6 linked regions of the Ovis aries genome follow. The protein of the gene in region 4 binds, or shares a complex with, the protein of the main gene of each other region. Links are inferred from orthologs where the notes say so. Each region holds a gene or a part of one and is shown on either strand. Other genes may lie near its edges.

Region 1 (5,389 bases), on a different chromosome or scaffold from region 4:
TCAATCTTTCCCTGCATCGAGGTCTTTTCAAGTGAGTCAGTTCTTTGCATCAGGTGGCTAAAGTATTGGAGTTTCAGCTGTGGCATCAGTCCTTCAATGAATATTCAGGACTGATTTCCTTTAGGATGGACTGGCTGGATCTCCTTGCTGTCCAAGGGACTCTCAAGAGTCTTCTCCAACACTGCAGTTCAAAAGCATCAATTCTTCAGCGCTCAGCTTTCTTTATAGTCCAACTCTCACATCCATACATGACTACTGGAAAAACCAAAGCTCTGACTAGATGGACCTTTGTTGGCAAAGTAATGTCTCTGCTTTTTGATATGCTGTCTAGGTTTGTCATTGCTTTTCTTCTAAGGAGCAAGCGTCTTTTAATTTCATGGCTGTAGTCATCATCTGCAGTGATTTCGGAGCCCCTCAAAATAAAGTCTGTTACTGTTTCCATTGTTTCCCCATCTATTTGCCATGAAGTGATGGGGCCAGATGCTATGATCTTAGTTTTCTGAATGTGGAGTTTTAAGCCAAGTTTTTCACTCTCCTTTTTCACTTTCATCAAGAGGCTCTTTAAGTCTTCTTCACTTTCTGCCATAAGGGTGGTGTCATCTGCATATCTGAGGTGATTGATATTTCTCCCGGCAATCTTGATTCCAACTTGTGCTTCATCCAGCCTGGCATTTTGCATGATGTACTCTGCATCTAATAAGTTAAATAAGCAGAGTGACAATATATTGCCTTTACTATGCCTTTCCTGATTTGGAACCAGTCTGTTGTTCCATGTCCAGTTCTAACTATTGCTTCTTGACTTGCATACAGATTTCTCAGGAGGCAGGTCAGGTGGTCTAGTATTCCCATCTCTTTCAGAATTTTTCACAGTAAATAGGCATTATTATCGGAAAGAGGCCTAGGGGAGAGGAGGGGGCTCTTTCCAGCTCTGGAAACATCAATATTTTGAGCATCTCCACCCCCTACAAGGAGAAGGAAATGGCAATCCACTCCGGTACCCTTGCCTGGAAAATCCCATGGATGGAGAACCCATGGGGTTGCAAAGAGTTGGACACGACTGAGCGACTTCACTTTCACTTTCACGCCCTACAAGGGGGCAAGAATCTTGTCTTGTCCGCCTCTGATGCCCCAGCACCCAGGGCAGCAGAGTCGTGCAAGTTGCTTGCTTGCAGTTTACCTGACGCCTCACATTCATCATCTCTCTCGGAATAAGACAGAAAGACCTGCTGAAGACAGCAAAAGCGGGGCGTGGCTCCTCCGCCTGGTCTTTATTTCACTTCGGCGCTAGAGGGCTCTTTGAACTTATTGTTTCACCACTGCCCAAATTCACCGAAAACCTACCCAGCCCAGAAGAAACTGCCAAGAGAACTTCCTGACAGTGGAGGAGAACAGCACTCCCGCCGCAGCTCCTGGGCTGCACTCAAGGGTCCAGGGCGAGAGTTTCCATGGCAACATAGGCCTTGGCGCCAGGAGGACTTAGAGCCCCTGGCCGGGCCGGGAGCCGATAGTAGGCCCCGGAATCCCTCGATTCGCTCCCTGAGTTCAGTTCGCAGCCGCGCGATTCCCCGCACCTACCTCTTTTCAGGCCTGTTCAGTCCCTTTCCGGAACCTCGGCGCCCACCCCGAATCATCCGCTAAGCCAACTGGACTACACTTCCCACACTGCCTCTGAGTTTCTCTCTTCGCAGAACCTTGGCCTCCGCGTGCTTCTCTCTGAGGCTCTACAGATCACATCTCTCAACTCGCCCAGACTCCCTCCTACTACGATTCCCATAATGCTCCACGCCTCCCAGGATGCTGCGTCGGACCTAGGACCACTTCCGGTTGGTGACGTAGTTCCGCTTTGCTGGGCGCGCGGTGGACGGTCTGAAACGTAGAGCGCGGCTTTCGCTGAGGCTTCGCGTCCCCGGAGCCCAGCATGGCTTCCTCACGACCCTCCTCCACGGTACAGGTCTCATTCTGGCAGGGAGCGCTGAGGGGGTGGGGGGGTCCCTGCGAAACAGGGCCATTAGGGAACGGGCTACGGCGGTGGAGGGCCGAGGAGGAAGGCTTCGGTGTTTTCCTAATTCTTGGGTGCTTCCATCTGTTTTAGCTCGTTTTCACCTCTCACTCCAGCCCCGAAATGTAAATATCTCTTCCGTCTGGTTCAGAAACGGAGCTCTGAAAGGGAGTAGAGTCTTGGCCAAGATTTATGACACTTTCAGAACTCTTAATTGTAACGAGGCCTCCTAACTTATCTACTGCTTCATATCCGAAACGTTTGAAATGTATGAACAGTAGCTTTCTAACTTGGCCCCCGTACCATCGCGTTGGTTATTTCAGTTATCCTTGATACCCCTGTGATGAGCAGTAATTGTGGAAATTTCATAAAAGCCAAGAAGAGATTTCACCTGCTGCAGCCGTATGAAATACACATATTCAAGAGAAAACCTTTGACAGAAAAATCAGCACGAGAAATTGACTAGTTTTATCCATCTCTTCCTATCTACAAAACTTAAGTGATTAAGAGACTGGAACCACTCTTTCCCTCCACCCCCAGATTAAGGAAGACACATTTTAACTGGTGTCTGGTTTGTCCTTTGTGTGGGGAAGAAATAGGTTTGAAGCTCTAAATAAGCTTCATTCTGCTGCGAAACCTATTAGGCTGCTAAGATTAAGCTTTAGGTTAACCTAGGTCTTTGTTTTAGCAGGCAACCAAAACTAAGGCACCAGATGACTTAGTGGCTCCTGTTGTGAAGAAACCACACATCTATTATGGAAGTTTGGAAGAGAAGGAGAGGGAGCGTCTGGCCAAAGGAGAATCTGGGCTTTTGGGAAAAGAAGGACTCAAAGCAGGAATTGAAGCAGGAAACATTAACATAACCTCTGGTAAGATTCAAATTGTGAGTTCATCTTTACCTTTGGTGCTCAAATTTTCTGTAATGATTACCTTCTTCATCTTAAATATCACTAGTTTATGTCAAGAAACTACAACTAATAAGCTTGCACCTATCAAAGTCCATATTCTCCACCTACCTGACTTGGTCTTATCATCCAAAGAACCTTTTTCTTAAAACCTTTTATACAGTTTTCCTTCAGTAAACTGTTAGTAATTTTACTAGGAATTTATTTATTCAGTGTGTATTTGAATTCAGAGTGATTTCCTTTGTCTTCTGGAGATCTAGTGTAGTTCTGGCGTTAGCTTGGAGCTACTGTGTTTCCTAATATTCTCCTCTTTTTAGTTTTTCAACTGTTTTTCACCCAAAATGAAATTATCTCTTCTAAATTTTAAAGTGATAGCCATCTTTATTTTGAAAGCAATTAAACAATAAAGAAACATATGAAGTAGAAAAACCTGTAATCTGTATTAATTGGAGCTATGTCATTTCAAGAACTTAATAAAGCTATAAAAATACACTTTTTTTTCCCATAAATGAAATCACGATAAACCAATTGTTTTGTAAGCTGCGTTTGTCATTGTGATACTGTTAAATGGGCTTTCCTGATGGCTCAGTGGGTAAAGAATTCACCTGCAGTGCAAGACACAGGAGACAAGGTGGCTTTGATCACTGGGTGGGGAAGATCCCCTGGAAGAGGAAATGGCAACCTACTGCAGTATTTCTTGCATGGAAAACCCCATGGACAGAGGGGTCTGGTGGGCTACAGTCTACCAGCTCTCAAAGAGTTGGAAACAAGTAAGCCAGTAAGTATGCACACACTGTTGAGGGTATTTTTTCATGCCAGTAACTAGTAGTCTACTATATTTTAAAAATAAAATCATTCATGTTTGTCATAAGAAATTCAGAAAGTATGGAAGGGTATAAAAAGACTTCTGTGCAGATAGGACTTCTGTTGTTTCTCATCGACCCTCCCACACATTTTCTTTTCTATACGTGTGCACTTTTCATGAGTTTTAAACCTTTTATGTTATTTTAAACATGACTGCATCACCCTTGTACTTCTCACTTCTCATCCAAATGCTTGTTTTTTATGTGAGTTTTAAAACTAGCTACTAGATTATCCAAAAAGCCTTGTAGTTAAGGCTTTATCATTTTCATGGTAATTATTTCCAGTTCACTGTTAGATTTGTTAGTGTTCCTATACTGAGACTATTTCAGAGAGTAGCTTTGGCAACTGTTGAAATAATGTTTCTATTTTGCCATGGATAGAAAGCCTAGATAACTTGTTAAAAGTGCTCCATATTCTCATTGTCTCATGAAGGCTGTGTGTTTATGTAAGTGTAAGTTGCCAAATGAAACAAGATGACTTGAACCAGTTTCTGGCCTTTAAAACCTCATTTAGTTTTCTGTGTTTGGCATACTTTAATAAACTGAGAAACTAAAGTTTCTAACAGATTAGTTAACTGTCCCTAGAGGCATGCAGCGGAGAAGGCAATGGCACCCCTCTCCAGTACTCTTGCCTGGAAAATCCCACGGACGGAGGAGCGTGGTAGGCTGCAGTCCATGGGGTCACTAAGAGTCGGACACAACTGAGCGACTTCACTTTCACTTTTCACTGTCATGCATTGGAGAAGGAAATGGCAATCCACTCCAGTGTTCTTGCCTGGAGAATCCCAGGGATGGGGTAGCCTGGCGGGCTGCCGTCTATGGGGTTGCACAGAGTTGGACACGACTGAAGCAACTTAGCAGCAGCAGCAGAGGCGTGCAAACTCCAGTTGTAAGAACTTATTTCTCTCTCCTTAATTAAAGAAGATTGGTGATTATGCTGATATTGCCTGTTCTGTTTATAGGAGAAGTGTTTGAAATTGAAGAGCACATCAGTGAGAGACAGGCTGAAGTGTTAGCAGAGTTTGAGAGAAGGAAGCGAGCCCGGCAAATCAACGTTTCCACAGATGACTCAGAGGTCAAAGCTTGCCTTAGAGCTTTGGGGGAACCCATCACACTTTTTGGAGAAGGTCCTGCTGAAAGAAGAGAAAGGTACCCTTTCTAAGTACTTACTCTTTTTTAATCACAGGATTATAGTTCCAGATTTTAGTTGTTGTTGTTCAGTCACTAAGTCATGTCCGACTCTTTGTGACCCCATGAACTTCCCTGTCCTTCACTGTCTCCCGGAGCTTGCTCAGGCTCATGTCCATTGAGTCAGTGACGCCATCCAACTGTCTCATCCTGTCGTCCTCTTCTCCTCCTGCCCTCAGTCTTTTCTAGCATCAGGGTCTTTTCCAGTGAGTTGGCTCTTCGCATCAGGTGGCCAAAGTATTGGAGCTTCAGTTTCAGCATCAGTCCTTCCAATGAATTTTGGAGGATTGATTTCCTTTAGGATGGACTGGTTTGATCTTGCTGTCCAAGGGACTCAAGAGTCTTCTCCGACCCCACAGTTCAAAAGCATTGATTTTTCGGTACTCTGCCTTCTTTACGGTCCACATCCATACATGACTGCTGGAGAAACCATA
Region 2 (3,559 bases), on a different chromosome or scaffold from region 4:
TGAGTTTGAGCAAACTCCGGAAGTTGGTGATGGACATGGAAGCCTGGTGTGCTACAGTCTATGGGGTCGCAAAGAGTTGGACACGACTGAGTGACTGAACTGAACTGAACTATTCCCTCTATTGGGATGTGGCCCAGAATCTTTTGGGATCCTGATATATGATTGACAAATTTTACATAGCTCCCAATTCCATGCTATGATCTATCCTGAAAATGTAAGCCTTGGGGACACTTAGCCTCACACAGGGGAGACATAATAGGAGAAATATTAGGTGAATAAATAGGTGAATGAATGAATGGATTCTAATTAGTAGTTTTCAGGTTTTCATTCTGCAGCCCTGTAAGCTCCTTGTCTTTATGATGAGTCAATTACTTGCCATATGAGTTTTGAATGCACCGAAGATTTGAATAATAAAAGGTAATGCACAAGAAAAGGGACTTATTTGTCCTCAGATAAATGAAATGTGGGAAAACTAAAATGGAAATAGCTCTCCCAAGACTTTCATTGGTATGGGAGCTAAAAGGGAACTAATATTTTCTATATCTACTATGTACAAGGTCTTTTTTATATACCATAACTCATTTAATCCTCACAACTATCCTGGGAGGTAGGTGGTGTTATCTACATTTTATAAACAAGAAAATCAAGGCTCATAAAATTAACTTCCACGAAGTCTCACATGTAGGAAGTGGTAGAGTCGAGATTCCATCTCCATTCCCATTCTTTTCAGAACACACACCTGCCTCTTCAAGAAGAGAGCTGTGGGACTTCTTGGGTGGTCCAGTGGCTAAGACACATGGCTCCCAATGCAGGGGGTTGGGGTTCAATCCCCATTCAGGGAATTAGATCCTACATGTCACAACTAAAAGAACCCACATGTCGCAACAAAATTGAAGATCCTGTGTGCCATAGCTAAGACCCAGGGCAAACAAACAAATAAATAAATATTAAGGAAAGAAGAGAGCTATATAGCTGATTCACTTTGTTGTACAGCAGAAACTAACACAACATTGTAAAGCAACTGTACTTCTCCCCACCAAAAAAAAAAAAAAAAAGAATTCAAAAGAAAGGAAGAGCTGAAAACATATGAATATTTTTTTAAGTTTTGTTTTTATTTTTTATTTTTTTTTATTTTTTTTATTTTTTATTTTTTTATTTATTTTTTTTTTTCTGTATCGCGCCGATCACATTTATTGGAAGGGTTGGAGAAAAATAAAAATGCCGTTTAGCTGAAGTATTTGTGAGTTATCTACAAATCAACTTATTTCAGGAGTGGAAGAATTCTTGCTTATTTTCAGCATCAAGATGCACATCGGTCTCTCTTTGGAACATCTTCCACACTCAAAGAGGCCACCGCACAGCACAGCCCGTCTCCCACAGGCGGCGGATTCTCGTTTCAGCCAACTCTCAATGGCGGGGCAACCAGCACAACGCCGTCTCCCCGCACAAAGAGCATCGGAATATTCCGTTTTGTTGATTTATATATTTCTTCATATGTTTCTTCATCAATTTCTATAGTTGTCACAGTTTCTTCCACATCTCCCAATATCATATTTAAATGTTGATCATAAGCGTGTAACCGGCCTCGAAGTTCTCTGTCGTTTCTCATCTTCACGTAGATGCGCTCGTCCAGGCTGAGCCGGATGAGATCCAAGGGCTCTTCCACAGTGTTGGTGGTTTGTTGCTGGTCCACGTCGTCCGCCATCTTTCAAACCCTCTTAAGTTTTGTTTTTAATGTGGACCGTTTTTAAAGTCTTTATTTGTTAAAATATTGCTTCTGTTTTATGTTTTTTTGGCTACAAGGCATGTGGGATCTTAGCTCCCTGACCAGGGATCTAACCCATATTCCCTGCAATGGAAGGTGAAGTCTTTCTTAACCACTGGACCACCAGGGAAGTCCCCACAAAACGCATTTTAATTGAGTGAAGAAAATAAAACATTTCATGTTTACAAAGACAAAAGACATAGCAAAGAACTTGTGGAAAAGCTGAAACCAAGAAAAATGAGATTTTTGGAAGTTGGAAGACAGACCTTGACCAAATGAGATCATCTTTAGGAAAGAAGTAAAGCCTGGATCCCAAATTCTCTACTGCGTTACCCAGTATTTTCTCACGTGATGATGTAGCAACCACTTGGTAATCATGGAGGAAAAGAATGACATCTGGAGCCAGGCCGACAAACCAGAGCCAGCCACGTAAGATGGTGCCGAATGAAAATACTAGCTTCCCCAAGACACTCAGAGATCTTTCCCCAGCTTTTGGATGGCAGAAGGCAACGACAGGGCTTGCAGCCAGTGCCCCAGCATCTTCCTCCTCACCCCTTTTGACTTTATTATTCCTGATAACCTGGTCATGCATATACAGCTACCAAACATTAAGTTTTCTTGAAGTCTCACAGCTTTGGGTTTTCTTACCAAGTCATGTGACTCAGATCTAGGCCTAGGAAGTAAACACTGTTTCCTGAATCTCAAATACCCACTCTACTTATGTTATTCTACACCTCCAAGAAGCTCTTGTCAAAACAAGATTAAACACGGCAAGATTTTATTAGGAGAAATGACTGTATGAAAGTAATTAACCTCCAATTAAAATAAATAAATTTATATTTAAAAAAAAAGAAAATAGAGAAGGAGCTGTGAGTGAAGCCTGACTGGTAAGGAGGGAAAGAAGAGAAAAGGATGTATGGAAGCAGTTGAGACTACCAGGCAGTCTAAGGAAACTTCTGCAAGACCTTGAGCCAAAGTTGTCCAACAAAGGAGTCCACATGTCTGCCTTAGTATCCCTGCTGTACTAAGTCATGGGTGCTTCCCTGGTGGCTCAGATGGTAAAGAACCTGCCCACCAATGCAGGAAACCCGGGTTCAGTCCCTGGGTGGGGAAGATCCCCTGGAGAAAGGAATGGCTATCCACTTCAGTATTCTTGCCTGGAGAATCCCATAGACAGAGGAGCCTGGCGGGCTACATGCAGCTGCAAAGAGTTGGACACGACTGAGCTACTGAGCACATTCATTACTGTGATTACTAAGGACTATCTCTCTTGCTAAATTTTAAACTCCACAGAAGCAGAGACCATGTCTGTCTTGTTCACCACTTTATCCTTAGTATCTATCACAGTGACTAGTAGTAGACACTCAATGAATATATTTTGAGTGCATTGGATGTGAGTGAATAAATGTCAAAGAATAGACAGGAGTCATATAATCAATTATAATCCCAAATCTACTGGAAATCAGATAAGGCCTAGGTCTAGGATAAGGAGAAGGCAGTGGCAACCCACTACAGTACTCTTGCGTGGAAAATCCTATGGATGGAGGAGCCTGGTAAGCTGCAGTCCATGGGGTCGCTAAGAGTCAGACACGACTGAGCAGCTTCACTTTCACTTTTCACTTTCGTGAATTGGAGAAGGAAATGGCAACCCACTCCAGTGTTCTTGCCTGGAGAATCCCAGGGACGGGGGAGCCTGGTGGGCTGCTGTCTATGGGGTCGCACAGAGTCGGACACGACTGAAGTGACTTAGCAGCAGCAGCAGTAGCAGGACTAGGATAAAGGGAACACAGCTTG
Region 3 (5,453 bases), on a different chromosome or scaffold from region 4:
GGGTAGGGAGATGAGGCGGGAGGGGCCCCCTCAGTTTGGACCCTTGAAAAGCCCTGGGACCCCCTGGAATCAGAGTCTCACGGTGTCCTCGGGGCAGCCCAGGTGAGAGAGGGGGTCCCTCTGCTTTCTCCTCAGGCCAACGCCCGGCTCAACGTGACCCGGCGCTTCTCCCAGGTGCTGTCGGCGCTGGGACTGGATGAGGAGCAGCTGCTGGCCGAGGCGGGCAAAGGGGACACGGAGGGCGCCCCCAGGAAGCACAGGTGAGGCCCAGCTGTGGGGAGATAGGGCACGGCCACCAGTACCCTGCCCCGCGGGGTCTCAGCTGCCGCCTGCCCCGGGGAAAGGCTAAGGGGCCTCCCCCGCAGCCACATGGGTCCACCCTGAATTTAGACTTCCATCCTGCCCTGTCCACTCCCTGGCCGGGAGGACTCAGTCTAGCTTTCGCAGTCAGCAGGGCCGTCCCCGGGCCCTGTCCTCCATGTCACCTGAGGAAGGCAGGGCCAAGGTTATTTCCCCACAGAACGCTTACACTTCAGAACAACCTGGTGCAGAGCAGAGGTTATCAGGCTTCGGGGGCGGGGGTAGTCTCCCACTCAGGGTCTCAGAGTGTAAGAGCCACATTTGAAACCACTGACATTGGTGATGAAGGCCTTGCCCCTCCTACAGCCCAGGTCTCCTTGGTTATGGGGGTGGGGAGTTGCAGAGCCCAGTGGTCTCTACTTGTGTCTTCATCTTTAAGGGGCCACAGGTCAGTGGGGGCGAGAATGGAGCCCTCTTCTCAGAGCCCCCCAAAGATGGAACACACTGGCAGCCAGGCTGACCAGCACTTCGCCCCAAATCCAGACCAAGAGTTGAGTCCCTGAGATAAAAATTAAATGCTTTGTGGAAAACACGGTGTGGGATTTCTGGCGGTGGTGGGAAGTGGCTGTGGGTTGGGAGCAGGCCGTGGCAGGTGGGTATGCAGCACGCTTGGCTTGTGCTCACATCCCCCAGGAACCCTGGCTGTTGCGACGGCCCCCGCCCAGCACACACGGCTGTGTCTCTGCCCAGAGGAGCGAGTGGGGCATCTCCCAAGAGCAACAGCTGCAACTCCTACCAATGCTGGGTCCTGGAAATTCAAGAGTGAACAGGACAGAATGCCTTCCGCCTTTGGGAACGCCCAGTCCTGTGGGGGAGGGGGCGGGCCTTTAAAAGGGCGCATAATCACACCCTAACAGATGGGCTGGCAGATCGAGCAACTGGCAAGTGGGGGTGTCAGGAGGAATTGTGTGAACTGAGCTTTTAACTACAAGTTAACAGTCTCCTCAAAGGAAAAGAAAAAGAAAAGCTCACACACACACGGATGTGCCAAATTTTGCATTCGATTTCAGGGGGTTTACAGATACACAGAAGCTCAACTCGACCTCCGGGGCAGTCGCAGAGCTCAGGTTAAAAACCCAATCCAAGGAGCGTGGCAAGGCAGCGTTGGCAGACAATACTAGATGTAGGGGTTGGAAGGAAGCTGGACTGTGGAGCTGGGGGCCTCGGGAGAACATGCTACGTCGTTTAACACCCGATGGAGCCACGACCCCAGGCAGTACACTAGGAGGACGCCACTGGAGAGGTGGACCCTGCCCAGAGACAGTCCGTGAGCCAGTGAACATCCGTAATTGAGGGTGTGAAAGCGGAGGGAAGCCGGGAAGGGGCTTCCAGCTCTGGCGATCCTGGCTTGGATGGTCCCTAGGTCCCATTCTGGGATACTGTCTTCCCCAGACCCAGTGGCGAACCTTGAGGCGCGCATGCGCAGTCGGCCCCCCGGCTCAAAGACCGCTACCCCGGCTAGGCTGGCTGCGACTGCGCAGTCGGGTTCAGATCCCGGCCTTCCCATGAGCCTTTGGGGCAGGCTCCGAGGCAAACGACGGAAGCAGCCGCTCTTGGTTTCCGGCAACAGGACACCGGCTGTCGGGCGACCCGGAAGTGTTCCCATTTTGCGTCGTCGGGGCTCGGCGGCGGCCGGGCTCGGGGTTAGACAGACCACCATGGGGTCGTCAAAGAAGCACCGCGGGGAAAAGGAGGCGGCAGGAACTACAGCAGCGGCCAGCACCGGGGGCGCTACCGAACAGCCGCCTAGGCACCGGGAGCACAAAAAACACAAGCATCGGAGCAGCGGCGGCGGCAGTAGCGGCGGCGAACGACGGAAGCGAAGCCGAGAGCGTGGGAGCGAGCGCGGGAGCGGGCGGCGCGGGGCCGAAAATGAGGCTCGCAGCAGCACGCACGGGCGGGAGCGCAGCCAGACAGAGCCCTCCGAGCGGCGCGTGAAACGGGAGAAGCGGGATGATGGCTACGAGGCCGGTGAGGGGCCTGTGCAGGGGGCGGGGCGACCGGAGGTGCCTCGGGTATGTGGGCTCTGGGTATGGAGGCCGAGCGCACCAGGCCGAGGCATCCTCTGGCTTTTTCGTCAGCACTTTCTAAAGGGTCTTCCTATGGCTATTTGGGACTGAAGGTTGTCTTTCTTTGTTAAACTCTCTGAGGGTAGAGATTTTCTTTGTTTTCCTCACGACCCCTCCCTGAATGTGTTGAATGAATGAAGCGATGGTAGCATGTGCAGAGGCAAGAACAAACATGTTGTCAAAGTTGTGTAGAGTTCATAGGAGAGACAGCAGTCTGTAAGAGAGACACGGATCTGAACACTAAGGGCCATATAGGCCCTGTTAAGAAAGTGAAACTTGTTTTGAGAGGAAGCCATGAATTTGAACTGACGAGTGAGTTGATCACATTCATATTTTGCAAAGATCTGGGAGAAGGGCAGTAGAGACTGGAGGTGAGATGAAGGCTGATGGTGGCCTGCACCGAGGCATTAGCCATGGGATGGAGAGACGTGGACAGATTGGAGAGGTGTTTTGGAGGAGGAGGTGATGGAGCTTAGCATTTGGATGAGGGCTGGAAAGAGAAGAAGGAATTGAGGGTGTGCCTTGAATTTTGACTTGAGCAACTAGTTGAGTGGTAGTGATCTCTGCTGATGTTATCCTGGTGGTTCAGTGGTAAAGAATCTGCCTGCAGTGCAGAAGACAAAAGAGACAAGGGTTCTATCCCTGGGTTGAGACGATCCCCTGGAGGAGGGCATGGCATCCCACTCCAGTATTCTTGCCTGGAGAATCCCATAGACAGAGGAGCCTGGAGAGCTATAGTCCACAGGGTGGCAAAGATTTGGACACAACTGAAGTGACCGAAGCACACATGCACAGTGCTGTCGACTAATTTCAGGAGTTTGGAAGAGAAACAGATTTTTGGAGGGAGACAACCGAATTCCGTTTTGGAGAGTGTTGAATTTTATGTGCATGGAGAAACTCAGGGCTTGGGCTGGATAGAGCAGTTTGGGAATCATGAGTGTTTAGGTGGCATATGAAGTCCACTGAGAGACTAGGAGTAGGAAGCCTACTGGTAGGAGAACCTGATAAATGCTAGTGTCTTAGTATTACGCTGAGCAGGAGGCTACGAAAAAAGGAGGTAGGCTGTCCCCCAAAGCAGGAAAACCATAGAATCTCGTGTCAGGGGATCTGTGGGAGTGATCATCTGTGTCACACACTGCTGGAGACCAGATGAAAACCAGAGCTGAAAAGAATCCTTGGGGTTTTGAAATAAGGAGGCTGGTGATCTTGGAGAGAGCCTGGAGTGGTTGGGATTCAGAGTTCAAGTGGGATAAGGTACAGAGGTAGGTTGTGAGGCGAACATGCTGGAACGATGAGCTGTGGTGGCGCCTGGTAGGGGCAGCTCCGTCTGAGTCCGAATCTGACTTCTGCATGTGGTGTTCAGTGAAGTCACTTGCTGTTTGTGAGGTGAGTAGAGGATGTCCTAAATGCTCCTGTATCTCAGTGATCTCAGCAACATTACAGAAGAGGCTCCAATAAGTATATTTCTTCACTGCATGAATTACACAGAGGGCATAGTTATGCTGCCAAGATGGTCCCTACCCTGTGAGGAGAAGCAGGTCCAGAAATGACTGTGGCAGTGTTGTGCAGAGGAGAGCAGGTCATGCTGATCAGTAATGGAGCAGGACTCCAGGGAGGAAGTGGGGTCTGATAGGATTTTGTTAACAGCCTGAGGCCAGAGAAGGCAGTGTAGGTTGAAAGCACAGGATACGCAAAAGTGGAGAGGTGGCGAAGTGAAGGATGTAGAAAGCTGGACCCTTTGGATCAGGAAAGGAAGGTGTGGGGAGAAGCAGCGTTCTCAGAGCCTGGGACTCGGATGGAAGGAGCTCCTGGTTGGGGGGAAGCAGGCCGAGGTGCTGACCTCGTCTTCGGCCCTGCACCTGGAGCCAGGGCTGCGGCTCCTGGGCCCAGTGCTCTGCCCCTGAGCCTTGCTGCTTCTTGTTCCAGCTGCCAGCTCCAAAACTAGCTCAGGCGATGCCTCGTCACTCAGCATTGAGGAGACCAAGTAAGTCCTGTCTCCTTTTCATTTCTGTGTTTTCTTGTGGGACAAGCAGCTTCTGGGGTAGCTGTCTGGGGAGGCTTTCGCGTAGTACATGTTCTGATTGAAGTTGGAAGTGTCATGTAAATCATCCTAGCCAACCAGCTGAGTTCCCGAAGTGGACTCTGAGGCCCAGGAGAGCATGGCCTTGCCCTGGCTAGGGGGCAGGCCAGGCCTTCCGGCTGATTGGGAGGCCGGTGCTCTTCCCACTGCTGGGTCAGGCCCTAGGTTTGAGACCCTTCGGACCACTCAGTCCCTTCCTGTTTTCTCCCCCTCTTTGTCCAGAAATGCATTTGGTGCCCCCATTTCTTGGACAGCTCATAACACTTGTATCTCTTGTCCTCAGTAAACTCCGGGCAAAGTTGGGGCTGAAACCCTTGGAGGTCAATGCCGTCAAGAAAGGTGAGTGTGGGGCCGAGGGTGATGGGAGAGAGCGCATTTGGGATCAAGAAGTGAGGCTGTCTGGAGGGATTTTTGAAGAAAGTGGGGTTGGAGTGCAGGTCAGCACCCCTCAGTGGTCCTGTGTGGGTGCTGGCTGTGGCCTTGGGGTTTCCTTGCTGCTGTGATGGGGTTTGGGATTCGGCTGCTTGTTTAAGCTTGAGCAATTGACGTGGCAGCCTCAGTATGGCTGCGAGGTAGCGTTAAAGGGACCAAGAGATGTGCACAGTGCTGCACACTCATCTGCGCTGTGCACGTGTTGGGTTTTTTTTGTTTCAGTTTGGTTTTTTAAAGTATGACCAGAGGGGCTTTGGAAGGCATGGAGGGTCCCCTCTTCTTGGGGGGGATGTGGGAATGTGGGGTTGCCGGGGATCAGGAGGCAGAGGATTCTTCCCTTGCTTCTGGCTTCTCTGGCCCCCTGAGTGGGACGGGGCAGCGTGAGTGGCTCCCTCCTTTCCCCACCAGCCTTGGGCAGGCATAGCCTCACGCCTGGGCCTCCCTTCCAGAGGCGGGCACCAAGGAGGAGCCCGTGACAGCCGATGTCATCAACCCCATGGCCTTGCGACAGC
Region 4 (4,784 bases):
CTGACTCACTTTGAAAGCTTGAATTTTATAAAAAAGGCTTGAATTCCTTTCAGTTTCTCCCTCTGTGCATAACCACTTAAAACTTCAATTTTAACAAGACTATGAAACTTATGGAAGTGGGGTTAGTGTTTCAAACACTCTGAACACCAAGCTTTCCTTAAATAGAACATTCCACTCTACTGAACATGCAGCCCCTTGCTGAAAAGGAAAACAATAATCAACAGTTCCAATAGTAATCAAAGCCCAAGAGGACTTTCCAGGCTCCCCACTTAAGTACAGGGACTCCTGGCATAAGGCACAAATCAGAGCCTGCAGGTGGAACACGCTGGCCATTTTGGCCACATCATGTCAAAAGGAGCCATGCGTGCGTGCCAAGTCACTTCAGTTGTGTCCAACTTTTTATGACTCTATGGAGTATACAGTCGCAAAACTGTAGCCCACCAGGCTCCTCTGTCCATGGGGACTCTCCAGGCAAGAATACTGGAATGGGTTGCTATGCATGGAATAACAACCCCACCCAGGGATCTTCCCCACCCAGGGAAGATTCAAACCCGTGTCTCTTAGTCTTCTGCATAGGCAGGCAGGTTCTTTACCACTAGGGCCACCTGGGAAGTCCAAAAAGGAGCTGTGAGCTGGTATAAATCTCTGTCCTATACCTGGCTACACCAGGCTCAATTCACATCACTACACCAAAGTGTGGAAAGGTAATTTATTTCATAAAAATGCTTTCACCCCAATTACAAAGGTGCCCTATTTCTTCAGTCCTAACTAAAAATAGAAACAATAGCTAAGCTGCAGACCATGGGCCATGACTACAAATTGTGGGGCTTCCCAGGCGGCTCAGTAGTCAAGAATCTGCCTACTAATGCAGAAGAAGTAGGATTGAGCCCTGGGTCAGGAAGATCCCCTGGAGGAGGAAATGGCAACCCACTCCAGTATTCCTGCCTGGATAACCCCATGGACAGAGGAGCCTGGTGGGCTACAGTCCATGGGGTCCCAGAGAGTCGGATACGACTAGGCGACTGAGCACACGTGACCTCTTTCTTCAGTTTCCCTGGTTCCTCCCAAAGAGAAAGGAGATTCTCTAAGTCCAAAGGCCTGAGACTCTCTCCTGACCTTGAGTGGGGAAGATCCCCAGGAGCCCTGGGGTAGCTCCCAAGAGAACTAGTTCCAAACCAACCCTCCTGGACACGCACCGTGATATCCTCTAGGGAGGAATCGATGATCTCATAGTTGTCGGGGAGGCAGTAAAACTTGAGGGTGTGGAGGTTGAGGAAGACATGGTGACTAAACTGCACACTGTGAATGTAGGCGTGAGACTTCAACCCCCGGCCTGCAGGAAGGAGGAAAGGCTGTGAGCGAAGCACAGACTCCACAAGCGCACAGACCGTGTGTAATTTTCCCTTCTTCATTTCGTACCAGAACATGTTAATATCAGCAAAAACAAAGCACTACACCACTCCTGAAAATTCATCTCCGCATGAATTCCTCTCATCATACAAGTCAGCAAGAAAGAATAGCACTTTATTCTCTAGATAACATAAAACATAGGGGGACTAATTTCATATACACAAATATGGAAAATGTGTGGTTATCTGTGAGTATGTGCATATGTGTATGTATACATGTGTGAGTAAGTATATGTGTATGTATACAAGCTAGTTTCATGTGCTATCAGAAACTAGGGATATGCATGCATATATTATAAATAATACACGTACATACACATATGTACGTATCTCCATCATTACTTAGTCTTAATTTTCCAGCTGCCCACATTCAGGACAATCTCATATCTACGTAACTTTTGTTCATGTTACCACTCCTTTCTAGAATATTTCACCCTTCACCCATTCAAACTGTATATACTGCATACAGAGAACAAGTTCCTCCTTCACCTCCTTCATGAACTTGACATAAACATTCCAGCTAACAGTGACCTTTGCATATTTCAACTCCTATTGTCCTTATTTATTTACACTCGGTACCACATGGGCCAGTAGTAATCTTTATGGTCTTAAGAGAGTTTGCTGATTGTTTTGTGTGTTACCCTTGACTATTTATCAGATCCTTATAAGAGCAAGGAATGTACTTTACATTTCTTCTAAATCCTCCACTATACTGCACAAATTGCACTAGCTTGGTCTGAATAAACTGATACAGTTAATTTTCAGAAAAGGACAGAATGAAAAAAACTCCTTACAGTAAAAGGATTCTCAGAAAAAGACATTGAGTACAGAAAAATATCAGAGATTCAAAAACCCAGTGCCAGTCAGCACCAGGGGCCAGCCAATCCCAGAGCTCTCCCCCGTGGTTGGTTCACAGGCCAAACAATCAAACAGAAAAGTTAAATAAATAGCAGCAGGGCCAGAGGCAGTGGAACTGGAGACAGCAGGGCTTCAGTGGCCTTGCCTGTCCTCCTTCACCGGTGACGACCAGCATTAGGCAGAGAAAGCCACCACCTTAAAAAAATAATAATAAAACTAGAACTTCTGAGATTTCCCAAACAGTCTCACATGTGGCAAGTTCTTTCTCCCTTTCACATGTATTCAGATTCTTACAAATAGAGAACCTCCTATGGATTTTCTAAGAGTATTCCAATTTCCTGGGAACAAAGATAAAAGTTTATTAGACATGACTCTTAACAGCAACTTACTCTCTTAAAAAAAAACACAACAACAAAAACCTACGGCTAGCCAGCACACAGCACACAGTCAGCACACAGACCTGTGGCTAGTGCTGAAAACACAATGCAAAATATTTATTTACCTTGAAAGTACTTGCCACACACCAGACAAGCATATGCATTGATGTGCGAGAGGGAGATGGAACACAATTTCTCAAAGTCAAAGTCCAGCACACTCCTAAGAAGATTAAAACAAAACAGAAACAGTTAATGGTGATGGTGGCCCAGGCGAGCACCTGAGTAAAGCAACGCCGTTGGCTCCATGCTCCCCAGCGTCATGCAGCATCCTTCCAAGAACAGGTCAACAATCACATGTAAATTATGGGGAACGTTAACTCTTCCTTACTTAGACATTCGGGCTTTCCTGGTGGCTCAGATGGTAAAGCATCTGCCTGCAGTGCAAGAGACCCGGGTTCAATCCCTGGGTTGGGAAGATTCCCTGGAGAAGGGAATGGCTACCCACTCCAGTATTCTTGCCTGGAGAATTCCATGGACAGAGAAGCTAGTGGGCTACAGTCCGTGGGGTCGCAAAGAGTCAGACACAACTGAGCAACTAACACTTTCACCTAGATACTTAATATAGCGCCCCAACCCACCAACCCCCAAAGTAGTGCAAAGGTATCTCTACCAATGACCCTCTTTGAGTATCCACAACCAGTTGAGAATCTCCCATTACTTTCTCTGGAGGAAAAGCCACAAGTAGGACCAAAGTAACAGGGTGCTAACAACATTCCAAAATAAAAGACATAAAATGAAGGACATAAAAAGAGTAAATAACCCCTTTCGTAAAAGAAAATTTTATTTCTGTCCATTAAAAAAAGTCAGAAGCCTGAAGAATTGTAGGGGAATACCTACAAAAAGATCTATCTGTTCAACTGCAAAGTCACGGTGAGTACCAGGCAAGTTAAGTAATTTAAAAAAAGTTACCTCTACTAAATCCACAGGTGCCAAGGGTTTTCCTTCTCAAGCATTAACTCTATAATTAATCGTTAATGGTCCCTGGAAAGCTGCACTGTCCACTAAAGGGGCCACTAGCCACACACAACTATTGATGTAAAATAATTAAAACAAACTTTAAAATTCAGTTCCTCAAGCCACATTTCAAGTGCTCAACAGCCACAAGTGGTCTGTGCCTACCACATGGACAATTCCACTGTTACGAAGAGCAATTCCAATGTTGCAAAAGCAGTCCAGTAGTCAAGGCTACACTAGAGCATAAGTGAAAAACCATCCTGTAACGCATCTGGGGGACCAAAGAATGCACTGGGATGAGATGACCACCTCTGCTTTAGGACATGTCTTTGTCTGTTTTTCCTTTCCTGAATCCCAGGCACCAAGAGCAGTACCTAGCACATCATGTGTGTGCGTGCTCAGTGGTGTCTGACTGCGACTCCACAGACCATAGCCTACCAGGCTCCTCTGTCGGTGGGATTTGCCAGGCAAGAATATTGGACTGGGTTGCCATTTCCTCCACCAGGAGATCTTCCCAATCCAGAGACTGAACCCAAGTCTCCTGCATCTCCTGCACTGGCAGGTAGATTCTTTACCCACTGAGCCACCTGGGAAGCCCAGGCACATACTGTTCAGTTCAGTTGCTCAGTCGTGTCCAACTCTTTGCGACCCCATGAGTCACGGCACGCCAGGCCTCCCTGTCCATCACCAACTCCCAGAGTCCACTCAAACTCACGTCCATCAAGTCGGTAATGCCATCCAGCCATCTCATCCTCTGTCGTCCCCTTCTCCTGCCCCTAATCCTTCCCAGCATCAGGGTCTTTTCCAATGAGTCAACTCTTCGCATAAGGTGGCCAAAGTATTGGAGTTTCAGCTTCAGCATCAGTCCTTCCCATGAACACCCAGGACTGGTATCCTTTAGAATGGACTAGTTGGATCTCCCTGCAGTCCAAGGGACTCACAAGAGTCTTCTCCAGCACCACAGTTCAAAAACATCAATTCTTCGGTGCTCAGCTTTCTTCACAGTCCAACTCTCACATCCATACATGACCACTGGAAAACAATAGCCTTGACTAGATGGACCTTTGTTGGCAAAGTAATATCTCTGCTTTTGAATATGCTATCTAGGTTGGTCATAATTTTCCTT
Region 5 (5,416 bases), on a different chromosome or scaffold from region 4:
GGAAGAGAGAAAACAAGGGCAGGCAAAAGGCCCTACAGGGTTGCTCCTCCCACAAAGAGGGCCTCTGCCTGGTGGCTTCTGACACTTGTGTGTGGCCGCATTTACTCTGCACCAGAGTAATGTGTACTTCAACATCGACAGTCCCTGGAGGAGTGAGACCCCCTTCTCTCCTGAACCTGGGGGCTCCGTCGTGCAGCACTCAGGCTGAGCTGGTGGGTCTGGGGACTTGTGGAGACGGGGACAGGAAAGGAAGGGGAGGGGACCCTTTGTCAGCAGCAGGGAGTAGACAGATAGAGACAGCAGGAGAGAGGGGGCAGGATGAGGCCCCTGGAAGCCAGCTTTATTGTGGCAGGTGCAGCACCTTTCTAGCCCCACCAGGCAGACTTCAACTCCAGCAAGTGCTGAGGGTCGGTGACGAGTGAATCCGGAGAACACTCTACCCTTGAAGTCCTGAGGTGACAGTGTACTGAGCCCCACCAGGACAGTGGCAAAGCAAACACACTTGTCAGCAGTCTGACCCACTAGGCGCCACATTCACGGTGGCTCAGCATATGGGCGGCGGCCTAGGAACAGTAAAGAAGGCCTTACTGCTCGGAAGGATGCTTCCGAGCCCTGCAGCTGCACTCACCTCGCATGTACTCGATGGTGCCGTCCAGCACGAGGTTGAGCAGCGGGTCGAACCCTTTCAGGATTCCACTGGCTTATCGGAATCACCAAGCAGAGAAGAGAGATGGACAAGCATAAGATCAATGGTCATTCTGGGTAAAGTGCGAGCTGCACGAGGGTGTCAGCACATGAAATTGGGGTGCCCTCACTGGTGAGGGACCACCCCCCAGCCAGACGCAGGCGTGGCAGCAGCCTCTTCAGGGACAGGACAGATGCAGGACCAAAGGGGGAGCAAGGGAAGGGCTCCCAGGAGACGAGCAGTGACAGCTGACCCCACACCATTGCCACTGCAACAGTCGGCAAATCCGCCTGCGCCTGTTTTGTAAACAGTTTAACTAGAGCCCGGCCCCGCTCATTTGGTAAATGTCGCTGTGGCAGCTCAGCTGCTGAATGGTGGAGTTGAGGAGCTGCGACAGAGACCGTCTGGCCAGCACAGCTGAAAATGTTCCCTGTCTGGTCTTCTGCAGAACAAGTCTGCCAGGCCTGCCTGAGTGCGAGGCCCTGGCTCTGCTTCCTCTGCTGTTGACAGCCCTCCTCAACCCTGTGACGGTGCTCACCAAGTGGGGTGATGGAGAGTGACAAATCCCAGAATCCATCTGGGCACTTGGCCCCGGGTTGGGTAGTGAGCCCACACCTGTGGATCCTCCCTTCTTACTGGGGGAGGTGCCGCAGCAGGTGGGTGGGATTTTCAGATGAATCCAGCATTCCCCCACCCCTCCCTCTGATGTGAGATGGGACCCTCGATCAGACGTCAGTCTGTGGTCAGGCTGTAACAGAGGGCTTCGTGGATGTGATCAAGGTCCATGAATCAGTCCACTCTTAGTGGATCTAAAGGGAGGCTATGCTGGGTGGGCCTGACCTACAGGTGAGCCATTAAAAGGATGGGCCCTTTCTGAAAAGAGAAGTTGAAAAAATTAGATTTTTCTGCTAGCCTTGAAGGAGTCAACTGCCATGCTGTGGACAGTGTCTGTGGCAGAGGCAGTGGGCAGCCTCTAGGAGCCCAGAGGGTCCCTGGCCAACACTTGCCAGAAAACGAGGACCCCGGGCCTGAGATACAGGCTCCCAGAGATGCTCCCTTACTGCAACCTCGTCAGAGACCTGAGCCTGAGGCACCTGGAGTCTGGAACCACAGGTGCTGTGAGATAAAAATGGGTTGTTGAAGCACAGAAAATGAACAGAAGGGACTTCCCTGGTGGTCCAAGTGGTTAAGAATTCATTCTGCAGTACAGCAAATGTGGGTTCCATCCTTGGTCTTACATTCCATGGAGCAACTAAGCCCATATGGCATAATTAGAGAGACCTGGCCTGACATCTGAGACCTTATGCAGCTAAATTAATTAAAAAAAGACAAACACAAGCGCCTTGAGAAGCAGGAGCCCCATCTCCTTGTACATCCCAGAACCGGCATGGTGCCAGTGTTTGTTCAGATTCAGAGCCTCACTGGGCTGGGTACCTAGACGGGCAGGCACTGTGTTTTTAGCCACTCTGATGCTACCCAGGCGTCCACATCTCAGAGGAGGAGTCGTCTGAATCACCATCTTACCAACAAAGAAACTGAAGATCAGAGATAGCTGAATAAGTGAAGCACTGGGTGCTGACTAAGTGTCAGGAACTTGGCTAATGACATTACCCTTTAATTTCACCACCACTGCTGAGGTAAGTGGAGTTAACAGCCTCTGACAGATGAGACAGACTCAGAGATTATAGCGACTTGCCCAAAGTCCCACAGCCAGTGAGCTGGGGCTCTGCCCTGGACGGCACTCTCCACGTAACCTTGCATCATCTTTCCTGCCAGTCTCCTCACGAGATCGCAGAGGGAGATGCAGTTAAAGCCTCACAGTAACTGAAAAAAACCTGCCAAGCCCTGACAGCTGTTACCAGGAGCTTATACCAAAGGACCCTGACTTGGGATGCAGAGTCAAGCAGAGCTTCCCAAAGCAGCTGAGAGCTGCCTGCCTCACTCAAAAGCAAAAGGCTCATTCTTTACCCTGGAACAGTGGTGAACAAGGAGATGAGGTTTGCTTTCAAAAGGTGCCTCAGGTGGCTTCGTGTAAATTGAGTATAGGGCCTGGGTTCTCAACTGGGGCAATTCTGCCCCTGCCAGGGAACACCAGGCCAGGTCTGGGATGCCTGTGGTCATCAGAACTAGAAGGCTCCTGGAATCGAGTGGATGGGACCAGAGATGCTGCTCCACACCCTACAGCGCCCAGGACGGCCCCCTACAGAGAACAATACGGTCTTAATGTCAGCAGTGCTGAAACTGAGAAACCCTGGTGCTGAGGGGGCCCATGGGGGGCTGGGGCAGCCGCCAGGGTGAGACAAGACCCAAAGGAAGCAGAGACCTGAATCCTAGCCCCTGTGGCTGCGGGCGAGGTTTGGGCCCCTTTGCGTGCCTCAGTTTTCCCACCTGCAAAAGGGGTGTAACCGTTCCTATACGCCGGCGCCGGCAGCAGGCCGGACGAGTTGTCCGAGCCAAGCGCCTAAAGCGCGGCCCAGGCATCCGTTACCGGTACCGCCTCCCGTTACTCCTCGTGGACTGTGGAGGGGGAGGGCAGCGGGGCCTCACCTTCTCTGCCTCCCTGGAACTTCACTCGGATGGTCTTGTCGATGTACTTGGATAGATCCAAGATGCTCTCTTTCTTTTTCTTCTCTTTGTCCTGCAGGGGATGCAGAACGCTGTGAAGCGGGGAGCACGGCTGGACTCTCCCCAGTCAACCCCACCAGCCCCGCGAACCCCGCCAGCCCGGCGAACCCCGCCAGCCCGGCGAAACCCGCCAACCCCACCAGCAGCGCCGCACGCTCACCGCCATCTTGTCGCGCCGCGTCGCTATGCGCAGGCGCCGCCACTGCGCCCTTTGTACCTACCCCTGCGCGCATGCGCGAAAGACGCAGGGCGCCTGCGCGGCGCTCTGCGCCGGGGCGTTGCTGGGAAACATCTGCCGACGCCTGTGGCGGGGACCGGGCGACATGGCGGCGGCGGCAGCGGCGGCGGCGCTGGCGCGGCTCGCAGCGGCCTTCCTTCTCCTCGCGGCCCAGGTGAGGGCGGCGCCGACCCCGTTGGCCTCGCCGGCCACGGTGCCCCGGCTTCTCACCCCTCCCTGGCCCCGCGCAGAACCCCGCCCTGACCGGCCTGGGGCCAGCTTAGGGGATCCGCGCCCCCGGTGCCGGCAACCCGTGGGCCTGGGGCCCGACCGTGACCTTGCGGGTCTGTCCCCCGGCCGGTCTCCCTTCTCTGTCTGGACGCCGTTCCCAGCCGTGGTGTCACTGGGTTCCGCCCGGACCTAAAGTTTTAGGTCCCACTACCCCGCTTCCGCCCCGGCCCCTGCTGGTCTGTCTCGGGGTCTCCAACCGCCTCTGGGACTCCCCTCTCTGACTCCGTGGCCTTAGTCGGGGGCTACCCCTCTCTGACCCTGGCATCCCCTTGAAAGCGATACTACCCCCATTCCCCGTGGTTGTAGTCAACTGCCCAGCGTGGCACCCAGTGACTGGCGGCGTCGAGAAGCGTCCAGGAGCCCAGCCCTGGAATGGGGTCGAATCGCCGCCCCATCTTTTTCTGCCGTGACCTTGGCAGGGGAGTTCCCGCTTTGAGTTGGTCGTCTGCAAAAGGAGGATAAGTGTACAGTGCGCAGTCAGCGAGATGATGTAGGGGATCCCGGACGTGGGGCATGCTACTTGTTTGTCACTTAACCTCAAGGGTCGCCACTGGGGGACAGACCTGGAGATGGCTGATGTACGTTACCTTGAGTGCATTTTTTATTTTCCAAACCCTCCCTCTCTCCCAAATTCCATAACTCCGGAAATGGTGCCCCCCCCACCAACAGCCCTACAAACTGGGCCATTAACGTTGCCCTTTCTGTGCCAGCCCCCCAACCTCTGCTTCAGGCTGCTGGCTTCTCTCCAAGGCCGCTTTTGTCCCCCAAACTCCCAGTTCATTTTCAGCCCTGCAGGAGGGATCTCTTTCAAAGTGTGTCAGATCTTGTGTCCAAATGAGAGCTTTCTGGTGCCACTGACACATTCAGGAGGACTCTGTGATCCGGCTGACAGGAAACCATCCTTTGTTTCCAACTCTAGCATATTAAAGGCACTTTGCTCACTGGGCTCTGTTTCCCTGAAACCTAACTCCCTCCAACGTTGTGTTTCTGGTCTCAGCTTAGGGGTGCCACATTCCAGCAGCTTTCTGACCCACCTCCTCCCCAGGTGCTTTGCCAGCTCCCTGTATTTCCCCCAGCCCTATTTGCTCGTCTCCCTCAGCAGTCTGACCCATTGGAAGCAGGGATTTTGAGCTCTCTAAATATTTAGAAAAAGGAAAAAAAATGGCAAAGCGATAGGTGGGCGAAGGGTCACAAGAACACCACAGAAGGAACGGCGTGGTTCGCCTGGGAATGATTTTCAGAAGCAAGAAGCAAGGGTACCAGAGGGGCGTTCTGAAGGATGAGTAGGAGTTTGCTGGGTCAAGAAGGTGTTCCAGGGAGAAAGTTGCAGGTGACGAGGGCAGGGCTGGAGGTGTGAAATCTGGTGATTTTTATTTTTTTAATAGCAGATATTTATTTAATTTTTATTGGAGTGTGGTTGATTTGCCATATTGTGTCAGTTTCAGGTGTACAGCACAGTGACTCGGTTATATATATATACACACACCCCTTTTTAGATTATTTCCTATATAGGCCATTACACAGTATTGAGTAGAGTTCCCTGTGCTATACAGTAGGTCCTTGTCGTTGTTTAGTCATTAAGTTGTGTCCAACTCTCA
Region 6 (5,226 bases), on a different chromosome or scaffold from region 4:
CTTACAAGTAACTATTTTATCAAGTTTCAGTGGACAGAGGAGTGAGGTAGACTACAATCCATGGGGTTGCAAAGAATTGGACACAACTGAGTAGACACACACATTCTATCAAGTGGGCTCTCCTGGTGGCTCAGCATCGAAGAATCTGCCTGCCAATGCAGTATGCTGCTGCTGCTGCTGCTGCTGCTGCTTAGTCGCTTCAGTCGTGTCCGACTCTGTGCAACCCCAGAGATGGCGCCCACCAGGCTCCCCCGTCCCTGGGATTCTCCAGGCAAGAACACTGGAGTGGGTTGCCATTTCCTTCTCTAATGCATGAAAGTGAAAAGTGAAAGTGAAGTCGCTCAGTCGTGTACGACTCTTCGAAACCCCATGGACTACAGCCTACCAGGCTCCTCCGCCCATGGGATTTTCCAGGCAAGAGGACTGGAGTGGGGTGCCATTGCCTTCTCCCTCCAATGCAGTATATGTGGGTTCAATTCCTGGGTTGGGAAAATCCCCTGGAGAAGGAAATGGCAACCCACTCCAGTATTCTTGCCTGGGAAATCCCATGGACAGAGGAGCCTGGTGGGCTACCGTCCATGGGGTCATAAAGAGTAGGACATAACTTAGCGACTCAACAAATTCTATCAAGTGAAATATGTGTCAAAGGAATACAGAACTGCTGAACTTTAGTTCTCGAAATGTTCTTTTTAAATGGCTTTCCTTCTATAAAGTTAAAACAAATTTCCAATTTATCATCTATACCATTAAAAAAAAATTTTAAACCCAAGGTTTCCACAAACTAAAAAACTATTTGCAAATATTTCTTAATAGCTATAACTTCTCAAAGTTAAGATGAGATTAAAATATTTCAAACTCTCTTAATTTGACAAAATACAATGTGAAGTACCTTAAAAAAATAAACAAAACCATGACTGCTCTCTTGATTAAAAAGGAAGCAAGGCGACTGGCCTTAGGCTTTGGAGTCAAATTTAGTTTAAATCCCAGTTTGGCTCTGCCACATACATTCATATGACTCTGGGAAAGTGACTCTTTTTCTGATCCAGGTTCTTAGCTTAGAATGCAGGGCTAGTTCTTCCTCACAGAGTTGTACTAGGATTAAGTGATGTAACACACGGGACATGCCTGGTACATGACACATGTTTAATAAATGGCAAAGTCTGACACTTGGTAATTGCCACTTAAGGACCCACTGAGAAAAACCCCAAGGATTAAAAAGAAAAAAACATCAGTTGCAGAGTAGGAAGATAGAAGAACAAATTCTATGAATTATAGAAGACAATAAAGTTTAGCAGCCTTAAAACTTTTTTGAAAGTTAACAATCATGAATTATAAATGAAATTAAGCCACCAAAAATCATGGAATAAATTCCTCAGATCAAGGAGAGAATCCAAGACTTTTCTGGAATTAAAATGGGATACAGCGATAAAAGGAAAAATGAGATGAAATACACTTCAATATTCATCATAATTTATTCTACAGAAGCACGAGATTCTACAACCTAAGAATATCTGAAGATTAACAATGTACATGTCTTAAATGTTCATTATATAGAGGTAGTATCTAAATCTTTTTTAAAAGTTTCCAAAAAGCACACACACACATTTAAAAAAAAAAAAAAAAAAACAACCTGTATGATTCATGTAGTAGATGTCAGAGCACTAAATGAGGAAGGAAATAAAAGATGAAGCAAGATAAATACAAAATATAGACAAATATCTGCAGACTAGACCAGAAGTTCTCTAAGGGCAGATTCTGTTATTCATCCAAGCTTCTAGAAGAAGCCTTGTATGTAACTTACAGCCAATGTTTATTAATGAAAAAAACAAAAAAAAAAACGGATTGGCAGCTATTTATCAAAGAGATAAAGAGTTGAATCATAAGAAAACTGCAATGCAGGTGTACTCTGGTGCCTAGGCACTGGAGATCAGAGGTTGTACATAAAAATTTACAACCAGTAAGCCTTCAAGAGTGGGCTTCCCAAGTAGCACTGCAGCAAAGAATCCACCTGCCAATGCAAGAGACGCAGGAGATCCGGGTTTGATCTCTGAGTTGGGACAATCCTCTGCAGCAGGAAATGGCAACCCACTCCAGTATTCTTGCCTGGAAAAGTTCATGGACAGAGGAGCCTGGCAGGCTACACTTCAGGAGGTCACAAAGAGTCTGGGACAACTGAGCATCACAGGCAGAAAAGCCTAAAAGAAAGCAGAGAATGAATACACCAAATACTTACCACAATCATTCTCCCATCAGAAGTAATGACAGCAACAGTTCCTGATAACTGAATCAAGGAAAGCATTTCTAAGGGAATGCAAACTGAAAACTTAAAATCTGGTAAGTAAATGGCTTAAATTACTAGGAAAAAAGGTGACAGAATTAAGATACAACTATTTAACACAGCCACATTTACAACATAAAATTGTATGTTCTTAATTCTCTGTGACAACTACACAATCTAAAAAAGGAAAAATAGAAAACATCCTTTTTATGAGATCAGTGTATTCTATCTTAAAACAAGCTGGGATGTTTGGTACTCATTTTTAATGAGGGAATATTGCAAATATGAAAATTGAGCAAGATATTTTTCCTTTTTTTAAACCTGTTTCATCATCTCTGAAACGAAAATTGGATGAGTGCTATTCAATGTCAAATGATTTAATACGTTAAGACACTGTCTTCTAGGACCTGCCTTCTGGAATTCAAAAGAAACTATAATCAATATCACAAGTATCAATATGCTTGCATCATTTAAAAAGAAAAACCTTTAGCATTCCACTTTTGTCCCAAATTTGTACATGAGAGCACAACGTAATGTTTCTGTCCCGAGACTTTAAAATGGTGCATAGAGTACTATTACAGGAGCTTTTTAAAGCTATTTGCCCCACAAGCCGATCTATTACAACAGCAAGCATTATTTTAATTCCATCAACAATAAAGTTGAGATTTCAGCTGGTAAAGGGGCAGACATTCGATTTTTGCATCATCTGTAAAGTTTCTGCTATCCTTGAAGACTGAGCAAAGCCTATGAATAAAACAAACACATAGATTTGTGAGTCCACCGTCGCAGCTGGTAAAACTATCTTATTCCCAAACGTGAACGTATAGGCCCGAGGGAAATGGAAAGGGTGAATCAATAACTGATTTCTATAGAGACACGGAAAAGTTCAGAATAATCTTGTCGGTTTTGCTCGGCTTTTCCATCAAGTTAAGACGCCTTGGACCAGCAGGAGCTGCGGGCTCCAGTCCCAGGGGTGAGCCTCCTTAACCTCTGTATCCCCACCCCGAGACCCAAGCCCGTCAGTGGCTCGGTGCCCCAACCGCCCGCCGATCCCGACCCCTGGCCTTTCCAGCACTGGTCCACTCCGGGGCCAGACGTGGGCCTCACCAAGGCCTTAGCTAATGCCCGCGATAGCCGACTGAAGGGTACGGTTGATGTAGTTCTCCAAGGCGGACGTCATGATACGCGACCTGGCAACTGGAAACACAAGAGCCCCGGCGTCCAGATGAGCTAGAAAGGACCGCCAGGGAACAGCAGCCTCTCTCGCCGACTGGCGGCAGCAAATACCGCGAGAACTACCGCAGGGCGGCCTCCGCGAATCAGAGACTGAAAGAAACCGGCCAAGCATTCCCGAGATGCAAAGCGACGACGGCCTTAATGCGCGTGTGCAGTATGTTTCTGCTCTTGCGGGTGATATTGGAAGCCGGAAAGAACCAAAGAGAACGGGCGGTGGGAGAAAGAAAGAAAGAAGCTCCCTGAAGATGGGGAGAAGGTGGGCGAGCGCGCTTCATAGCGGAATGGAAGGCTTTAGTGGCAGAAGTTACTAAGGGGAAATGTTGAGAGAAGATGGGGAAGGCAGGAGAAAACCGAATAAGGTTTTTGTTGTGTGTGTTTTTTTCCCCACAAGTGAAGTAGAGACTAGTGCTGTTCTGGTATGAAGTGTAGACGCCCGGATGTGGAATCCCTAATTTTGTACTGCAGAGGCCGAAAATTAACGTTTTAGAAGCTAAACGACCCCGGACAAAGTTCCACAGTTGTACCGTATGGTATACATATCTGGAGAAGTCAGTAGTTAAAAGCATGTTCGCAGTTTGCATTTGCTTCTAAAAGTGCTGCATCGTGTTCACCCGCAACTATCAACCATTGTTATTGTGAATGGGCTATACCCCAATACAAATGTTTTTGTTGTTAAAAAAAATTTTTAAATGGTGCATCGCGGCGGCGTTGTCACTCATTCATTTTGTCACTCTGCCGTGTCAGAGTCTTTGCGACCCCGTGGACTGTAGCCTACCACGCTTCTCCGTCCATGGGATTTTCCAGGCAAGAGTTCTGAAATGGGTTGCCGTTTCCTTCTCCAAAGGGTCTTCCGGACCCAGGGATCAAAACCGGGTTTCCCACATTGTAGGCAGACGCTCTGGAGAAGGCAATGGCAACCCACTCCAGTACTCTTGCTGGAAACTCCCACGGACGGAGGAGCCTGGTGGGCTGCAGTCCATGGGGTCGCTAAGAGTCGGACACGACTGAGCGACTTCACTTTCACTTTTTACTTTCATGCATTGGAGAAGGAAATGGCAACCCACTCCAGTGTTCTTGCCTGGAGAACCCCGGCCTGGTGGGCTGCTGTTTATGGGGTCGCACAGAGTTGGACACGACTGAAGCGACTTAGCAGCAGCAGCAGCAGCAGCAGGCAGACGCTCATTGGAAAAGACTGATGCTGGGAGGGATTGGGGGCAGGAGGAAAAGGGGACGACAGAGGATGAGATGGCTGGATGGCATCACCGACTCGATGGACGTGAGTTTGAGTGAACTCCGGAAGATGGTGATGGACAGGGAGGCCTGGCGTGCTGCGATTCATGGGGTCACAAAGAGTCGGACACGACTGACCGACTGAACTGAGTCAGATGCTTGACAGTCTGAGCTAATAGGGACTGAATCCAAATGGTAGAGTGTGAGTCTTCCTTAGGAAACAGTCTTTCACCACACCCCAAAGTTTCCCTCTCCTCAGGTTATAAAATCAGTTACTTTTAAAAGGCTGGCAGGTCCGCTGCTTATTCCTGGAAAGGACTGATTATGGAAGAGCTTGCTAAATAAGCAGCAGACTGGGTTCTAGTCCTGCTGTGCTAATGAAATGGTGTATCCTTGCACAAGTGACATCAGCTCATCTGGGCCTCAGTTCCTTAAATTCTACCCCATTTATCATTTTGGATATTTAATGTGTGTTACTACAA

What was found.
Region 1: USP39 (region 4) and PRPF4 share a complex: the UniProt entries of both Homo sapiens proteins name them as parts of the U4/U6-U5 tri-snRNP complex. The link is inferred for Ovis aries from reciprocal best matches to the Homo sapiens genes USP39 and PRPF4.
Region 2: USP39 (region 4) and U6 snRNA-associated Sm-like protein LSm3 share a complex: the UniProt entries of both Homo sapiens proteins name them as parts of the U4/U6-U5 tri-snRNP complex. The link is inferred for Ovis aries from reciprocal best matches to the Homo sapiens genes USP39 and LSM3.
Region 3: USP39 (region 4) and SART1 share a complex: the UniProt entries of both Homo sapiens proteins name them as parts of the U4/U6-U5 tri-snRNP complex. The link is inferred for Ovis aries from reciprocal best matches to the Homo sapiens genes USP39 and SART1.
Region 5: USP39 (region 4) and LSM7 share a complex: the UniProt entries of both Homo sapiens proteins name them as parts of the U4/U6-U5 tri-snRNP complex. The link is inferred for Ovis aries from reciprocal best matches to the Homo sapiens genes USP39 and LSM7.
Region 6: USP39 (region 4) and LSM8 share a complex: the UniProt entries of both Homo sapiens proteins name them as parts of the U4/U6-U5 tri-snRNP complex. The link is inferred for Ovis aries from reciprocal best matches to the Homo sapiens genes USP39 and LSM8.

Annotation. Positions count from the first base shown.
Region 1 is NC_056055.1:10,446,380-10,451,768, reverse strand, and holds the start of PRPF4 (U4/U6 small nuclear ribonucleoprotein Prp4), read left to right. Parts: upstream 1-1,834; 5' UTR 1,835-1,918; coding exon 1,919-1,951; intron 1,952-2,687; coding exon of another isoform or gene 2,688-2,690; coding exon 2,691-2,868; intron 2,869-4,729; coding exon 4,730-4,916; intron 4,917-5,389. UniProt on the Homo sapiens protein: Plays a role in pre-mRNA splicing as component of the U4/U6-U5 tri-snRNP complex that is involved in spliceosome assembly, and as component of the precatalytic spliceosome (spliceosome B complex).
Region 2 is NC_056080.1:116,710,116-116,713,674, reverse strand, and holds U6 snRNA-associated Sm-like protein LSm3, read right to left. Parts: upstream 1,719-3,559; 5' UTR 1,706-1,718; coding exon 1,397-1,705; 3' UTR 1,094-1,396; downstream 1-1,093. UniProt on the Homo sapiens protein: Plays a role in pre-mRNA splicing as component of the U4/U6-U5 tri-snRNP complex that is involved in spliceosome assembly, and as component of the precatalytic spliceosome (spliceosome B complex).
Region 3 is NC_056074.1:40,494,842-40,500,294, forward strand, and holds the start of SART1 (U4/U6.U5 tri-snRNP-associated protein 1), read left to right. Parts: upstream 1-1,964; 5' UTR 1,965-2,018; coding exon 2,019-2,331; intron 2,332-4,355; coding exon 4,356-4,413; intron 4,414-4,792; coding exon 4,793-4,848; intron 4,849-5,349; exon of another isoform or gene 5,350-5,390; coding exon 5,391-5,453. Other genes in the region: TSGA10IP (testis-specific protein 10-interacting protein), read left to right, coding at 136-260, 994-1,126. UniProt on the Homo sapiens protein: Plays a role in mRNA splicing as a component of the U4/U6-U5 tri-snRNP, one of the building blocks of the spliceosome. May also bind to DNA.
Region 4 is NC_056056.1:57,464,669-57,469,452, reverse strand, and holds part of USP39 (ubiquitin carboxyl-terminal hydrolase 39), read right to left. Parts: intron 2,865-4,784; coding exon 2,770-2,864; intron 1,334-2,769; coding exon 1,197-1,333; intron 1-1,196.
Region 5 is NC_056058.1:19,031,895-19,037,310, reverse strand, and holds the start of LSM7 (U6 snRNA-associated Sm-like protein LSm7), read right to left. Parts: upstream 3,496-5,416; 5' UTR 3,477-3,495; coding exon 3,471-3,476; intron 3,324-3,470; coding exon 3,233-3,323; intron 701-3,232; coding exon 629-700; intron 1-628. Other genes in the region: SPPL2B (signal peptide peptidase-like 2B), read left to right, coding at 3,496-3,702. UniProt on the Homo sapiens protein: Plays a role in pre-mRNA splicing as component of the U4/U6-U5 tri-snRNP complex that is involved in spliceosome assembly, and as component of the precatalytic spliceosome (spliceosome B complex).
Region 6 is NC_056057.1:84,396,163-84,401,388, reverse strand, and holds the start of LSM8 (LSM8 homolog, U6 small nuclear RNA associated), read right to left. Parts: upstream 3,524-5,226; 5' UTR 3,459-3,523; coding exon 3,428-3,458; intron 2,275-3,427; coding exon 2,234-2,274; intron 1-2,233. UniProt on the Homo sapiens protein: Plays a role in pre-mRNA splicing as component of the U4/U6-U5 tri-snRNP complex that is involved in spliceosome assembly, and as component of the precatalytic spliceosome (spliceosome B complex).